Canis lupus familiaris: one gene and its partner. The protein of the gene in region 2 purifies or fractionates together with the protein of the main gene of each other region. This does not show direct contact. Links are inferred from orthologs where the notes say so. Each region holds a gene or a part of one and is shown on either strand. Other genes may lie near its edges.

What was found.
Region 1: the proteins of PDE6D (region 2) and RAB28 purify together in Homo sapiens (affinity purification with mass spectrometry; 3 studies listed by BioGRID and IntAct, with this or other methods). This does not show direct contact. The link is inferred for Canis lupus familiaris from reciprocal best matches to the Homo sapiens genes PDE6D and RAB28.

The regions. Positions count from the first base shown.
Region 1 is NC_049224.1:67,143,382-67,152,299, reverse strand, and holds the start of RAB28 (ras-related protein Rab-28), read right to left. Parts: upstream 5,906-8,918; 5' UTR 5,676-5,905; coding exon 5,601-5,675; intron 968-5,600; coding exon 871-967; intron 1-870.
Region 2 is NC_049246.1:43,815,063-43,823,807, reverse strand, and holds the start of PDE6D (retinal rod rhodopsin-sensitive cGMP 3',5'-cyclic phosphodiesterase subunit delta), read left to right. Parts: upstream 1-4,224; 5' UTR 4,225-4,283; coding exon 4,284-4,333; intron 4,334-8,745. UniProt on the Homo sapiens protein: Promotes the release of prenylated target proteins from cellular membranes. Modulates the activity of prenylated or palmitoylated Ras family members by regulating their subcellular location.

The DNA of each region.
Region 1 (8,918 bases), on a different chromosome or scaffold from region 2:
CACTATATCACTCATGCTCCAGTATATGAATCTGACACTACACTTGCAACCGTTTTTATTCAAATGTGTTTCCTCAGAGAGGAGAGGGATGGACTGGTTTAGAAAGTCAATCAAGATAAACTGCTTTTAATAAAATACTTTAAACATATAATTTAACCATCACAAATGAATGGACAGAGCATTTTAAAGCCCCAATTGTTCAGAAACTAACTTAAAACAGAAACCACTCTCTTTTTGTTATTATTTCCCTGTATTTCCCACAAAATGTGCTGCAACTGGCATCTAAATAGTTTCTTTGCATGGTGAACTGAAACATCTTGAATGCTCAAACTGTATTTTTATGAGTGCCTAGGGACCCTAAATTTTAGTGGTCTATTAAATGCCAGCAATTTCATGCTGCCTTGCATAAAACAGCATTCACATATTAGAGCACAGAAGTTCCATAGCTACATTATACTTCTGTTCCAACTTTCTCTCGAACAAAAAACTGAAGCAGAGGCTAATCAAAATAATATTTTAAAAAAATAATCCTTTCCAGTCTTTTCACATTTAGTTTACATGATATCTGTTTATAACTGTATAGCATTTGATTTTTTTTAAACTTCTTAGAATTTTATAAGCAACTATTGTTTATCCTTGAAAAATGTGTGGAGTGGTCAAAAACAGCGGGAAAGTAGGGGAATATATAAACTTTTCTCTCACACCCATGGACAGTATGTCTTCATGGTAGATGCTAATTAAAGCTAATCTAAGATAGATTTGCTAATTATATATATTTTCATGCAGATGCAGCCCCCAAATTTATTTTACACATTTCTGTTATTGTAAGATATGTACCATTTTCTATGTTAAGAGTTTTTACTCTCTTACCTGGAAGTGTTATCCTTCTCAAAAAGAAATCCAGTCCTATAGTTTGTTTGTACTGTTTCCCAAAAGTTTCTTGAGCAAAGCACGTAGCTAAGGAGGTCTAAAAAAATTGATGCACAGAATATCAAAATTAATGACTCTGTTTTAAAAATATAAACATAAAATCATTACTAAACCTTACTAAATAATCTTAGTAGTTACACTACCATTAATCCAACAAACAACTTTAAGCAGTTCTCATCAGTTACAAAGGGAGGAGAGACTTAACACTTCACCAGGTAAATTTCACTTGCCAACAGCTATCAGTGGGAACAAAAGACTAATCTGTTAGATCTCCTTAAATCCCTTGATAGTCAAGCTCCTTCTCCTTGCTAGAAATTAGAATTTGAGATTTATCAACAAGAAAAGTAAAACAACACAACTAAAGATCTGAATCCTATATATCAATATAAATCAGTTTAACACAAATTTCAAAGAACTCTAAATTTCATGTCTGAGGTTAAATATTCTGAATATCTGTGCTCTCAGCCAAAAATAAGAAGTACTAATTAAAAGGGGAAAACCTATTCATAAAATTTTTCTTTTTTCCCTACAAAAAAAGTATCTTTAAATGTCTAATTTTTCTCTAAATTAAAGATGTTAAATGAAAATGATCCTACAGTATGATTGAGATAATATTTATCTTTAAAATTTAAAAGTCAGTACTTTTAAGACTAATATTAGCAAAGTAAGTATTTTCCATCCAACAACCATAAAGATTAATGAATACTATAACCAGAACACACATACATAGATCTACACTTTTTTTTTTAATAAAGTTGTATTCAAAACTCAGGAGTACCGTTTCCTATCAAAGAAGAATTAAAATCATTCTGGTAACAACTGAAATAATAACTTAAAAGCTTCTTAAACATTTGAAATGCACTATTTGTAAACTTCACCAAAAAGAAGAAAGGCAGCTTCAAGAGAAGCTTTCATGCTCTTTAAGAAAGACTACCCAAGTGAAAATAGCCCTTTTCTATTTTAAAAGTTAAAATTAGATGTCAATTCCCAAAATAATGAAAACTAAAATAAAATTTCCAAAATAGCTTAGTATAATTAATTATGACATAAGTACAGCAATGCAAAAGAAAACTTGGCCAAATTTCAATTCCTTCAAACAAAAAACCTAAAATTCCTTTGGACACAAAAGCCATATTTTTCACACAGATGACAATTTGTACATCCTAACTCTAATTCTTTTATTAAATATTCAGCATTTGTAATAATTGAGATATATTGCCAAATATTTATTGAGCACCATAAGAAAGATGTTCTCCTAAGCACTTAGAAATAAACTCACTACACCCAAATGAATATTTCTTTGGCTTCCTGAAGCATGTAACAATAATATAAAAACTAAGAGACTGGAATAAAAAAAGGTAAGCATTCTTTTTTAAAACTTTTTGGGTTTCATTTAGCTTTATTTATGCCATTGAACTTGTTTAACTTAGGGTACAGAATCTTCTGTTAAGAGGCTCAGAGTTACAGAGAAAAATAATTGCCACTATTTATTACAGATATTTCAAAATGTTTAATATAGAGATGGTAGATAAAGTTCTACAAGACAAAGAGAAACTCAAGGTACAAGTAACAGCATAGTGCCATTTAAGGTAATTTTTCACTTTCACGTAAGGTTCTCGGAGTTCAGTACTTTTATATTAATGAATATTTTAAAAATCCAAGGGTTCTTTTTTTGGAAATAGGACTTTGAGATTCTGAAAGCCTTACCCTCACACTTTTGAGGCAAACATAAAACTAAGATTTTTGATTAGAATAAAGTATAATCTGTCAAAAGCAGGGGGCTTGGGAACACAGAATATTAAAATGGGTTCTTATACCATTTCTAGACATACCATAAAAATTAAACAGAGAATCAACTGAATCAGTGGTAGGCACTTCCTCTTCAATACTCTAGACTCTCTGGCCTCTTTCACATTCAATAATTTCTCTCAAGTCATTATATAAATACCCTTCTTAAATAATTGTGAGGTGAACAATCATCTACCATATCTGAAACATCTTTATCTGATCCTTTACATTGTTTTGCTTGGTGAGCTCCTGCTAACAATTTTTACCATACTACATTTACTAATACAAAAAAAAAAAAAAAGACCAAGAAAGAATATTTTGCCTCAAAAAATCTTAAGAAATATGTAATAAAATCAAAAGTATGAATCAAAACAGAAAGAAACAGAAACACATGTTACTAGGAGGAGGAGCAAAATTTCTCTTGGAGAAACTGTTAATGATGATTATCTCAATACTCGATTGCTCCCGTCAATGTGTATTTAAAGTCAACATGTACTTAAATGTCATTAAGTTAAAACTGACAAGAAAAACTAATGCTAGAAAATATAGCCACGAGTTCAATCAGGATACAAATAAGAATGAAATGAAAGAGGCTGAATTCATATAAGGATAGTAAAGGAAATAGAATGGGACTGTTGGTAGCTGCCAATAACTTGAGAGCTGAATAGGGTATGGCAAAGAAAAAAGCTTGATACACAAATAATGAAAAAAGGTTAGGTTTCTGACTTTGGTATCTGAAAATCTCTGGCAGAAAACGCCTTTACAGTTTTAAAAGAGATTAGTTAAGATGATAAAGACTAAATCAGAACCCCATAGAGAGTTATCACTCTTACCCTTTTAAGCAGAATGATAGTCCTAATTCAACAATATGGAAGAGAAAGAAATCATGTCTTGTCCTACACTAGACAGAATTTTAGACAGATGAAAACCCACAATTATTCACACTAAATTAGCAAAGAGAAGAAAACATAGAACAGGCTAAATAAAAAACCCAGATACAAGGTGATGAACAAACTTCAACTAGTAACACATGTATGAAACTGATACATACTGGGAGAAAAAAAGAAATTAACAGAAGCTTAAAGAATTATGATAGAATGTAGGGTAATGGGCAATTTTTTGTCTCTTTTAACAACCGTTATCAGTGCTATAGATCGTCGTGGTAATTTTAAGCAGAAAACAAATTCATTTATGAGTTGACCGTAAAAGGATTTAGGAAATGAAAAAATCAGAAGGTATTCGAAAGAAAATCGAATAATAAAAATACTGTGCAAATACACCTTAAAATTTTTATTGAATAAGAGTGTTAGAAACAATGGTGATTTATCTAAAACAACCGAACCATTCAAAAAGTTGCTTCCCCAAAACCTTTAAAGGTCATCAGAGCATATTAGGTTTGCTTTCCCTCAGCAACAAAAAGCAGTGACAAAATATCCTCCGGGAAGGCAAGAAGGAAATAACAGAATGCTCCAAATTTTGCACACGAAGGACCCCTCTCCCAGGTGCCCTAGGATCTCAAGTCTCAGAAACCACGACAGGAGCGGCTCTGCAAGGGCCAACCGCCAGGGAGACGCAAGGAGCAGCCGTCACCACGGAAACCACGGTCCAGGCTGCACCAGTAACCGGGAATCGTGACGCCGGAAACCGGTCACCACAACAACCTGCGCTTCTGGGGACTCTGGCTGGGAACAGGGAGGGAAGAAGAAAAGGAGACGGACTTTAGCAATATTCCCAGAAGCAGTGTTGGCGCCTGGGACAGAAGCGACAGGTGTGAAGACACCCGGGGCAGAGGCGCTTCACTCCATGGGGGGGGGGGGCGGTCGTTGACCCTTCCGAGGTCCCACGGACCCTCCCCCAAAGAGCCAGCATCCAGAGATGAGGATCCCATTTCCGGAGCTCCACAACCCAGAGTTAAAGACCCTATAGCCCAGCATGTAAGCAGCCTGGATGTCGGAGAGCCCCGGGCACTCAGTGTCCTTTATTCAGCCCAGCCGGCACCAACCCCCAGGCCCTAAAGTAGGACCCCCCGCCGTCCGGGGCGCAGCTCTACCCGCAGCATCCAGCCCCCTAGCTGGAGCTCGACGGGTATCTGCGGAATGAATGCTTGTGCCGACAGGTGCTGTGCCAGGAGCAAGGACCAACAGGTACGATGCCATAAAAACAGCAACTAGCGTTCACTGAGCGCGCAACCATGTCCTGAAACCTTTACGTGGGTTTTCACGTTTCACGTGTATTTTTGCACACCTCGCCCTTGGAGGCGATCCCTGGCAATACCCACCTGACCGCTGGAGCACAAGGAGGTCAGCGAGTTTGCCCTCCAATGTCCCGACCCGCTAGGGAAAGGAGCCCCAGTGGTCACCCAGGGAATGGGATTCCGGAGCCAAGTCCTCGCGAGCTGCCAGCGCAGGGGAGGTGCGAGAAGCCGTCAAGGGGCCGGAGGGGGGAGGGGGAGGGGGAGGGCCCGGCATCGGGGGCGGGGGGGGGGGGCGGCGGCGAAGTGTGCCCTGGACTAAAGTAAAAAGGGGTGAGATGCCTTGGCAGGTCCTTGCCAGTCCCCGGGGGCGAAGAGCTGGGGAGCCTCCCGGAGGGCGATGCTGGCCCGACTCGAACAAGTAGGAGTTCGCGATCCAGGCGGGGAGGTGGGAAGTGACTTTTTTTTTTTCCTTTTTTTTTTTTTTTTTTTTTTTTAATGTAAGGGGAGCTGGACAGCTCTCCTCAGCCTTCACCGGCGCCGACTGGATGCCTGGCCCCAGGCCACCTCCAGGCTGGCGGGCCCCGGCCCCGGCCCCGGCGGTAATGAGGCGACGCCGAGCGGCGGGGAGGAGGCGGGGGGTGCCGGGGTTCCTGCAGCCCGGGGACGGCGGGCCCGCTGGAGGACTGACCTTCCCGGAGGTGCCGTCCCCCAGCACGACGATTTTCAGTTGCCGGTCCTGGCTCTCCTCCTCCGAGTCCGACATGGTGTCCCGGGAACCAGGCCCGCTCCCCCACCCCCACCCCCACCCCCACCCCGAGGTAGAGGGAGGAAGGGTAGGGGGGGTCTCCGGGGGCGGGAGGAGAGGAGGACGGGCGGCAGTGGGGGCAGGACCCCCCGCCCGGGTGTCTCAGCGGCCGCTGGACGTAACTAGGGTGAATCACTCTCCGGGCGCCATCTTGCCCGCCTCTCCGCCCCTCCCCCCGCGCGCCGCCCCGCCCCCCGCGCGCTACGTCAGTCGCGCTCCCCCGCCTCTGCGCCAACCCGCGCCGACGCGAGCCGCCCTGGCAAGCCGGCCCATTCGCCGGCCTGGGATGGGGGAGGCGTTCGAGCCCAGCAGGGCGACACGGGCGTTAGTCCCGCAGGGGCGGCTGCGAAGAATAAAAGTAAAATGTAGCACTGTAACCAGGTAGGAAAACAGGAGCCGAGTGGCATTCGGATGTTCTATCATATTCCGTGTTTCCATCACCCCCTGAGCAGGTCCCCCACTGAAGCGAATGGTTTAGCCCGACGGGGGGGCGTGGACGCCTGGGACGCGCGCCACGGTTGCCATGGAAGCCGGGAGGAGGAGGAGAGGCGGAGGGGCGGGGCCTGTCTCCGGGCGCCCGGGAAGCGGGGTGCAGCGCGCGCAGCACCCGGCAGGGGCTCCCGGAGCTGGTCCCGGCGCCTGGGGGTCGCGCCCCGGGAGGAGCGTGGCCGCCGCGGAGGTTGCTGAGGACCTGTCCGCCTGCGGGAAAGCACCTTGAGTGGCCTTCAGTTTAACAGAGCTCTGGCTCTGCCTCTGGTTTTGACGTCTCAAACCGTGGATTCTCTGGACACAACAGAATTGGATGGTTCATTCATCAAGCAAGTAACCTAGAGCAGCAGTTCTCAAAGTGTGATCCGGAGAACCCTTGGGGGGGGGGCTCCAATAAAGTAAAAATATATATATTATTTTCATAATACTACCCTTTTTTTTTTTTTTTTTTTTTTGCCTTCTTCGCGTTCATTCTCTCACGAGTAGAAGTTTTCCCGGGGATGCATGATGTCTATGATGTCATTGCTCTGGCAGTTAAGGAAGCAGGTGCTTGTTACAGAGTTAAGACTTTTTTTTTTTTTTAAGATTTTATTTATTTAAAAAATAAAGAGAGGCAGAGACACAAGCAGGCTCCATGCAGGGAGCCCGACCTGGGGCTGATTCCAGGTCTTCAGGATCAGGCCCGGGCTGAAGGCGGTGCTAAACCGCTGAGCCACCCGGGCTGCCCAAGTTTAAACATTTCTTAAATACTAATTTAAAAGCAGTAATGAGACCTATAGCTTACATAAACAAAAACTTTTTGAGATCTACAAACATTTAAGAGTGTAGAGAGGCCCAGAGCCCACAAAATGTAGGACCTGCTGTCCTGGATGATCTCGGTCCAGTACAGTAGGTAAAAGATGTCAGAAAAAATGAACAGAGTGAGATAAATTCTACAATAATAATGCCAACCTATTATGCCTGTCTCTTGTTGATGACAAGGATGATCACAGTTCATTCCTCATGAGAACCCTGTAAAGTAGGTAGAATTATCTCATTTTACAGATGAGTAAGCTTAAGGCACAAGAAGCTTAGCTCAGAGGCAGTGGTCTTGGAAAGAATGTAGGAAGTAGACTAGGAAAGCAGTACGGTTTTAAGAAATGCCCAGCCCTAGAGGGAGCATTGGAGTTTAATCACAGGTACCTGTGCTTGCTAGGTGTGTGACAGTCGACCTATAAAATAGAGGTACTACCTCCTTCACAGGTTGAAAATTAAATGAAGTAATCAATGTAAAGCACAATGCCTTATTAACAGATGTAATTATCAATTTCACCATTGTCAGTAGATATGGTCCATGTTGGGGCATCACTGCTTCTTAGCCATGTTACTTTAGACAGGTTTCATATGTAGATTACATTTAATTATACATTAATAGTTCATTCTCCTCCTTACATATTATTATACATTAATGATATGCCCCATGCATATAAGCATGTATATATTATGTATGCCAGCAGGACCCCCATGTATTGTCATACATTAATGATACACCCCATGCAAATAAGCATGTACATACAATTATTAATCTTGCATGAGACATTAAGCTAAACTAATCTCCATTAATACTTAAATTGGAATGCACTTCACTTATCCAAAAAAGACCTGATCAGCAAGCCTCGAAAAACCAGCAATCCTTGCACAAACGTGAACCTCTTCTCACTACAGACCTGTAACATGGGGGGGTTCCTATATTAAAACTATACCTGGCCTCTGGTTCTTACTTCAGGGCCATGTAACTCTACTACTACAAATCCTCTCAAATGGGACATCTGGAGGAACTAATGACTACTCAGCCCACAATCGCACATAACTGTGGTGTCATGCATTTGGTACCTTTTAAATTTTAGGGGAAGAAAGCGCTATCATGTTCACCATAAAGGTCTCGATGCATAGAGCCTAGGTTCTTCATCTTTAGGTGGGATTAGTCCACAATAGTAGCTACCCTATTACTGTTATTAGCTCCCAGTACTTTCCCTACTCCCAACCATCACCACTAACAACTTCCTACATTACCATGTGTGTTAACGAGGATTGGCAGGAAAAAGTACCTGAAAGGGCTTTGCAAAGTTTTTTGTAAATGTTAGTTTGAGGAATCTGTTTCTCATGAAGACAGATTTAACCCCTTCTTGTCCATGAAGAGAGTTACTATTGCAGAAATTTGCTTTTACATTCGTCCTTAACGGAAATGATTATGTAACCCAGCTCTGACCAATGAGACAGAAGAGGATGTCTCCTTTGGGAGACATCTGGAAAAGATTTTCCTCCCTGATTAGAAAAAGAAGAAGAGGAGGGGTACCTAGATAGCTCAGTTGGTTAAGCATCAGACTCGTGATTTTGGCTCAGATCATGATCTCAGGGTCATGAGATTAAGCCCCAGGTCATCGGGCTCCAATCTGGGCATGAAGCCTGCTTAAGATTCTTTCTCTCCTGGGCAGCCCTGGTGGCTTAGTGGTTTAGTGCCGCCTTCAGCCCAGGGCCTGATCCTGGAGACCTGGGATCGAGTCCCATGTCGGGCTCCCTGTGTGGAGTCTGCTTGTGTCTCTGTCTCATGAATAAATAGATAAGATGTTTTTTGAAAAAGATTCTTTCTCTCCTCTCTCTCTACCCACCTCCCTCGCCTACATGCTTTCTCTCTCTTTAAAAAAATATAATAATAATGAAAAAGGAGAGATG
Region 2 (8,745 bases):
GTTCAAACCCCATGTTGCGCAAGAAGCTTACTTTAAAAAAAAGAAGAAGAAGAAGAAGAAGAAGAAGAAGAAGAAGAAGAAGAAGAAGAAGAAGAAGAAGAAGAAGAAGAAGAAGAAGAGAAAAGCTTCAATATGTTAAGTGCTATGAGAAAGATATGACAATACTTTAGAAGCATAGAAGAGAGTATGTTGGGGAAAAGAAAACAGGCATCTTCCAGGCAAAAAGGGAAGAAAAGGTGGCTGACCATAGTCACAGAGGCTTGCCCTGTGTAGCATATACTAATGCAGAAAAGAAACCCAGAGTGTCTGGAATACAAGGCTCAGGTTTGAGAAATGAGGGCTACAGACCTGGAGTCAGGTCATCAAGGGTGCTATAAACCACACGCACGGCACTATACGCAGTAAATATCTTAATACTGCAGAGTCCCTACCTGGGATTAGCCCACAGCCCTGGAGAGAGACAAACCTGTCTGGCTATAACAGCCAGTTGCCATAGGCACCCTAGAACTACAGATTAAGGCTCTTCTCCTGCCTGTGCTCTGGAGAAAGGTGATTTAAAGCAGGGTTCTGGAGACGAGGCTTGAGTTGAACATGGAAGAATGAGCAAGCAAATCACAAAAAGTATAAGCCATGTAAAGGAGTTATTATTTTATCTTGAGGGTGCTGGGGGGTGGCAGAACTTAGGGCTTTTAACCTGTGGAGAAGTGTGAATAATTGCCACTTTAGAATGCTCACACTAGCTGCTATAAGAATGGATTGGATATGGAGAGAGCTGGAAGCAGGGAAACTCTTGAGGTGATTGATATAGTACAGAAAAGAGATTGTGAGATCCTGAACAAAGACAGTGGCAGTTGGGCATGAAACAGAAGGGACGTGGTGGGAGGCATTTAGACTATGGAATGTGTCCGATGTGCTGACCAGCTGAATGCAGGGATAGGGAAGAAGGGTATCACCCAAGACTCTGGCTATTCACTCAGAGGTGATGTTTCTAAGTAAATGGGGCTGCAGAGGAAAAAAAGCAAATTTGCGGTAATAGGAAGATAATTAAGTTCTGTTTGAGTTCATAAATATTCTAGCAGTACTTCCACTTCTTCCAGAATAATGTCCAGACTCCAGGGCTGCAGAGAAATCCCTTCTCAGTATGCTTCCCTCCAACCTTTCCAGCTTTGGCTCGTCCCACCCTCTTACAGCCAAAACCCTAGGCCTTCCTATGCCCAACACAACCTCCACCTTCCCTCTCTGACACCAGGGCCTATGCTCAAGCTTGCTCTCCATCCTTTTTTGCAATGCTCTTCCCTCCTATTTTTGCCTGTTAAAATCCTACCAACCCTGTAGGCAGAGATTTCTTAAACTCAATGCACAAAAGCACTAATCATAAAAGAAAACACTGAGCTACTACACTACATTATAATTTAGAATTTCTGATTATCAAATGACACCAATGCGAGACTGAAGAGGCAAGCCACAGAGCTGGAAAAGATATTCCTGAAGCCTGTATCAAAGAACTCCATATCCAAACTTCATAAAGAACTACAAATCAGTATGAATAAGTAGACAAAAAGCCCAATTTAAAAAGTAGGGAAAAGACTTGAACAAGCACTTTACAAAAGAAAACACTGAAATAATTAAAAATCATATGAAAAGTGCTCAACATCAGAGACAATGCAAGAAAAGACTGTAATAAGATACCACATTTATAGCCAAAAGAGCTAAAGTTAGAAAGACCTCTAAGACCCTGGTTGGTTTTTTTTTTAAGATTTTATTTATTTATTCATGAGAGACAGAGAGAAAGAGAGGCAGAGACAGGCAGAGGGAGAAGCAGGCTTCATGCAGGAAGCCTGACTGGGACTCAATCCTAGGTCTCCAGGATCATGCCCTGGGCTGAAGGCGGTGCTAAACCACTGAGCCACCCGGGCTGCCCAAAGAACCTGTTTTGACAAGGATAAGAGTCAACTAGAATTTTCTTACGTTGCAGGTGAAAGGGAAAATGATACAAACACTTTGGAAAACTGACATACTGTTGCTGATCATATGCATACTGTACAAGCCAGCCATTCCTCTCCTAGAAATAAGTGCAGTCTACAAAAAGAAACCTATAAGAATGCGCATTGCAGCTTTAACAAAAGCCAAAAACTGTTAACTGATAACATAAATACCCATCAATAGAACAGATAAATATTGCTAGATACACACAATAGAATACTAGTCAGTAATTAAAAAAAAAAAAAGCTGCTACATACAACATGGATGAATCTCACAAAAAAAAAAAAAAAAAAAACACACAACTGATGAAGAAAAAAAGCCAGGCTCCTACTGTACATACTGTATGATTACATTTAAATGAAATTCACAACAAAACTGATTTATGGTAATAGAAGTCAGAATAGTTATCGGGATGGGAGGATGCAGTGCTGATTGGGAAGGGGCACAGGGGTGCCAGAAATGTTCTATATTTTGATTTGGGGGGTGGTGACACAGATGTATACAAATGTCAAAACTGTGCCCTTCCTGCATGTCATACCTCATGAACAAAAAAATTTTAAGATAAAGTTTTTTTAACAGGAAAAAAAAAAATCCACCCATCGTTCAAATTCAAATGCCACCTCCTCCATCAAGTTTTGCCAGCTGGATCTGATCTTTCCATCAGAACCTCTGTAGCATTCTGATGACCTTTCCTTTATGACATTTATTGCAGTTCATCTTGAATCTCAGCAGAGTCTCCTTTTTTTCCTAACTAGATGGTTATCTTCCTGGAGGCAGTGACAATGCCTTTTCACCCTTTACCGGAAACCTGAAAAGGCTCTTTGTTGAATTACATGGAAGGAAAAATTGGGTGGGTGCCCAGATGGGTGAAAGGGGGACGGGAAGAGGAAGGAAGGCCTCGGAAAAGAGATAGGAGATGTCCAAGGAAACCTTAGCTTACGCTACAATTTTACCTAGTTCCTGAAATCACATTAAATGTCACCTTGAGCAACAAATAACAAATCAAAACACTAAGTCCTTCCTAGACTGAAGATAAACAAACATCACACTCCTTCACTTACAGGAAATCCACCAAAATGAATGCTTACCTAACCTCTGGGTGTTTCAACCTGGATGAGGATACTTCACTAAGGAAAATAATAATCACACAGCCATGCTGCTAAAAATATCGCCACCTCAGTGTGGTGTAAACAGCCCAAACTGAGGGTCAGGAGACTTAGAGCCGAATTCTAACTCTGTCCCAAGTTGCTGTAACCAGTGGACGATCGCTTCGCCTCTCTGGGGCCTCAGTTTCCTCGTATGTAAAACAACAGAGGGTGGTTTGGCAAATTCTCTTAATATCCCTTCCGGTAGGGAGAGTCTGAGTATACGATCCATATCTCTCCCAGCCCAACGCAGGAGCACACCAGAAACCCCTGCAAAACAAGTAAAAGGCGCCCCAGACCAACAAACAAGCACGATTTAAAGGAGTCATTTTATCTTCCGTGGTTTAATCAAGTGTTTTTGTTTGTTGTTTGCAGCCTTACCATGATTTGCAGGAGATTTCTGAGTTCCATGTAAACAGATGTTACCTCCCTGTGGGCTGTCATCCTCTTCTGAGAGTTAAGGGGGTCTTCCCGCCCAGTTTCAAGTCTCCGAATTCAGAAACCCCCAAGGCTGAGGGAAGGTTTACGAATTTGCGCACACTGCGCGGCACACTGGAGTCTAAGTTACAGAGGAACAGGGTGCAGGGAATGCTGGGATTTGTAGTCCCCGGGCCTCTTTGTTGCGTGATGGGATCTGTGGTTCCCCCGGGCACTCCCCCGGAATGCTGGGAAATGTAGTCTCTCTCACATCGCACAGGGCAACCCGCCGTCATTTCAGCGCCCTAGTGTGCCCCGCGGAGGGAGCGGGCCCCTCGAGCCTCTGCAGATCTGAAGCCAACCCTCCGCTGGGGCAAACTCTAGGCAACAAGACCTAAAGAAAAATTTGTCCTACGGGACTTCCCGGGGAGGGCCCTTCCCACTGACGCTCGTCGTCCCCCGGCGAAGCCGCTGAATGTTTCTATTGGCTGCTCGGGATGCCAATCGGCGAGGAGGGCTTTCCATTGGCTTTGGGGCGGGCGCTCCGAGGCTAGGGGGAAGGAGAAGGGATCAGGAGCGGGAGCTGAGGGGAGGGAGAGGCCGGTCCGGGTCTGGCCGCTGCCGCTGCTCGCTGGAGGTCTCCAGGCCGCGCTGCGGCTCCGTCCTCGGTTCCTGGGCACCGTCTGCGAGGCTCCGCCGGGCCAGCGTGGGAGAGCCGCGGGCGGCGGCCGCCGCATCATGTCAGCCAAGGACGAGAGGGCCAGGGAGATCCTGAAGGGCTTCAAACTGTATCCGCCCGGGAGTGGGGCGGGGCGGGGCCGGGAGGACTTGGGGGGCGGCCGCTGGCGGAGGAGACGGGCCGGGGGCGGGGGCCGCGCCTGCTGGGCTCGGGACGGGAGCGCGGCGGGAGGGGACGGAGGGGACCGAGGGAACGGCGTCCCGGTCCCCCCGGCGGGACCGGGTACTGGAGGCGGGGCAGGGGGCGTCCTGAGGGAGGAAGGAGACGTTGCCGGGAGCCGGGGGCTGGAGTGGAGGAGCCCCTGTCCGAATTGGGCTGGGAGACGCGGCGGGCGTCGGAAACGCGTGGCGGTGAGGCCGGCTTGGGTCCGAGCCTCGGCCCGCGCCCGGAGGCCAGAAGGGGGGCTGCGGCCCGCAGGGAGGGCCGAGGGGCGCGGGGGGCTGGCCTCGCAGCCCTGCAGCCCGTTTGGCGGGAAGGCCCCGGGGGAGCAGGGAAAAGTGACTCGGAGCGAGTGACCTTGGGTGGGACAAATGCAAATGCTTGTGCTGAACTCTCCCGGGTTCCCCCGTCCCCCCCTCTACGCCACCCCCTCCTTGTTTCCACAACTTCTCTGCCTCACTTGTGGCTCCTTCCAGGGCTGGAGCAGAGAGGAAGGTGGGCCAAGAGAAGCCCGGGATCCACCTCATCTTAACACTCTCTTGGCCTTGTGAGGCACTGGATGGTGGCAGCTTCTCTCTCAGCCTTTCACTTTTCTGTCCAGCGAAGTGAGGACCCTGCACTCGAGCGTGAGATGCCTTGAGGTGTTTTGGTTTTGCACCGGGACTCCTGGCAAAGGTATCTGCGCGCTTGCGTTTGTGAGGTTCACGCGGAGACCAGGTGGAGCTGTCCAGCAATTATTTGATTACTTTGGGGACACGGTAGGATTTAGCAGGATCTAGAAATCATTGCCCCAGGCCTGGCCTGTTGTGGTGCCGCTTGTGCAACCTTCTTTCTCTCTTTAACGTATTAGGAAGCCTCGTGTTTAAATGGAGTGTCTGTCTGTGACCATAGGATGCGGATGAAAAATAGGCAAACCTGGACATTCCAATTTCACATTTTCCTGCTGAGCTTAAATCTCTTTTTACATCCCGTGCGTACAAAATGGAACGTTCTCAAATTCTTCTCTCCGTGAAGTTGTAGTCATCACTTTAGGTCTCCCCCCACCCCCCCAAAGGAGATTTAGTGAAGCACTGTTCTCTGAGCTGCCTTTGTGTTTTCACGATGCCCATTTCACCGCTGGAAATTTTAATTGCTTTTCACAGTCAGAAAGCAAGTTGGTAGTAAATTTTAGAACCCAAAATGCAACAACAACAACAACAACAAAAAAGTTACAGGACATTTTAGATATACAAATGAAAAGTTTCAAATGGAAGCTGATCTGCTATGCTTCTTTTGAAAAAAAACGGAAGGCATTATACACTAGGCATAAGGTCATTCGTGGTAAAGTTTAGTAAAAGCCTCTTTTTATAGCTTCGTGTACCTTTCGGTGTCTTTTTTCATAATGGCACCTATAAGTAAATAGGGATGGCTGAAGTCTTAGAAAAGCTGTGACATGGATTTTATTTTTCCCCTAAGTAATTTGTATTGTTAGTTACATGTATACTGTAGATAGTAAAATCAGAGACTGGGGAATTGAGAGATTTCAGAAGCAACGTTTTTGGTCCAATTGGAATTAACATACTGCTGAAAACAAGAAAGAATCTTTTTAATGGTTTTCAAACAAAGAAACTTCTTACCTCAGTCTGGGCTCTTGAAGCTGTTGAGAAAGAGGTTAAGGGACACATGTGGAAAAGAGTAGAAATCATCATCAGGTGAATTAACCAGTTCAATGATGACGTTAGTGTATTAAGAAACAGGCTTTCAGAGAAGGTTTGACCTGAGCTGATTAAATCTCAAGGGAAGCAGCCGCATAAAAAAGTTAGCATGGGAGCAAGAGGATGCTCATCCTCTGGTAGCCTTTATTGACATCTGAGGATTAAGAGAGAAAGGAAAGGAGTTCTAGAATTTGCTACTACCTTCAGGAAAACACAATCTTTTAGTAAAACAAACTGCTTATTGTCCACCTTTTTTATTGGGTGAATTGTTTTTCTGAACTTTCATTGAATCTGTTTCTGTAAGAGTTTTTTTCTACCAAAAGAAAGCACCATTAGAGTCTCCTACCAGCGATGTTGACAGTGCTCAGTTCCACATTGACTCTGTCTTTTATATTTTTGCCAATTTAGACAAGTGATACCTTATTTTAATTTGTATTTCCCTGGATATCTAGATCCCTGGACAGGTAATAGAGCATAGTGGTTAAGAAGAATTCTGGACTGTAGAGCTGTTCTGTGTTGGAATCCCAGCCCTACACTCTTGGTTGTCCCTGAGCAACTCATTTAACCTCAGCCTCAATTTCCTCATCTGTAAATGGGGTTAAAAATAGTACTTATCTCATAGGGTTGTTACGAAGATTGAATGAGTTGATAGCTGAAGCATTTAGAAAAGCACCTGATGCCTAGTAAACATTATATATTAGCTCTTATTATTGTTAGAGAAGTTGCAAAATCTTCTGTTTGGCAGTTCCTTTTCTGTGAATCACTTGTTGATTTTGTTTTTTGCCCATTTTACTATTGAATTTTTTACTTACTGGTTTGTGTGTGTGCCTTAATATCATTTGCCTGTTCTGTATGTTGCAAATATTTTCCATCAATATATTGTTCATCTCCTTTTTAGTTGAACAAATTTTATTTATTTATTTATTTATTTATTTATTTATTTATTTATTTATTTTTAAGGATGTTATATTGAGAGAGAGCATGAGCATGAGGGAAGGCCAGAGGGAGAGGGACTTCATCCCAGGACTCTGAAGACAGATGCTTAACTGACTGAGTCACCCAGGCCACCCTGTTGAACAAATTTTAAATTATCATTTCAAATTCATCAGCATTTTCCATATGGCTTCTGCATTTTGTGTCTTAAAGATTTATTTCTTTTTTTGAGAGAGAGAGGGCACATGGGCATGCACATTCTCCACACACACATGGAATCAGGTGGAGGGGCAGAGAGAGAGAGGGAGAGGGAGAGAATCTCAAGCAGACTGGCTGATGCAAAGCACAAGATGGAGCTCAGTACCACCTTGAGATCATGACCTTAGCCAAAATCAAGAGTCCCCGATGCTAAAGCAACTGAGCCACCCAGGTACTCCTGTATTTTGTGTCTTAAGAAGACCTTCCTGACCTTGGGCAAGTCACTCAACTCCCTTTCCATCCATTTCTTTAATATTCAAATGGATAAAAATCATAGTATCTACTACATAGGTTTGCAATACAGATTAAATGAATTGTTATAACTAAATAAAACTAGACCTTCCTTATCCTAAAATTAAATATTCTATGTTTTCATTTCCACCTGAAATGTTTTTACACAAATGATATGTGGTAGAAATCTAACTTCTTGTGCTGTTTTAAAATGGTATTTGGGGCAGCCCTGGTGGCTTAACTGTTTAGCGCTGCCTTCAGCCCAAGGCGTGATCCTGGAGACTGGAGATCCAGTCCCACATCAGGCTCCTTGCATGGGGCCTGCTTCCCCCTCTGCCTGTGTCTGTGCGCCCCACCCCCCCCCCCGCCCATCTCTCTCCCCATCTCTAATAAATACATAAAATCTTTTTAAAAATAAAATAAAATGGTATTTATTTTTTCTGTTACATACTCTAGCCACCCAGAAATGACCTTTAAAAAGTCTTATTTATTCATGAGAGACACAGAGAGAGAGGCAGAGACACAGGCAGAGGGAGAAGCAGGCTCCATGCAGGGAGCCCGATGTGGGACTCAATCCCGAAACTCCGAGATCACGCACTGAGCTGAAGGCAAATGCTTAACCACTGAGCCACCCAGGCGTCCCACCTTTTTGATTTTTTTTAATGTAGTCTTCCAGTGTAGCTAATGTATTTGCTTTTATAAAAATTAAATCATAAGCATTATTTCTTAACTTATTTTTTCACTTAATAATAAGTTTACCATATTCATAATTTCCAAAGATAATTACTTTTCATTGCTTTCCATGACATAGATTTGTCACAGTCCTCTTACACAGTGTTCTAGTGTAGTCTGTATAATGCACTGTTTTGCCTATTCAAACTGCTCTTCCTCACCACAAATATAGTTGACGCTTGAACAAAACTGGTTTACATACAGGTCCACTGACAAGAATTTTTTCAGTAACTACAGTATAGAGTATGGTTTTACAGTATTGTAAATATGTTTTCTCTCATGATTTTCTTAATAACATTTTTCTTCCAACTTATTTTATTGTAAGAATCTGGTACATAGGGCAGCCCGGGTGGCTCAGCAGTTTAGCACAGCCTTCAGCCCAGGGTGTGATCTTGGAGACCCGGGATGGAGTCCCACATCGGGCTCCTTGCATGGGGCCTGCTTCTCCCTCTGC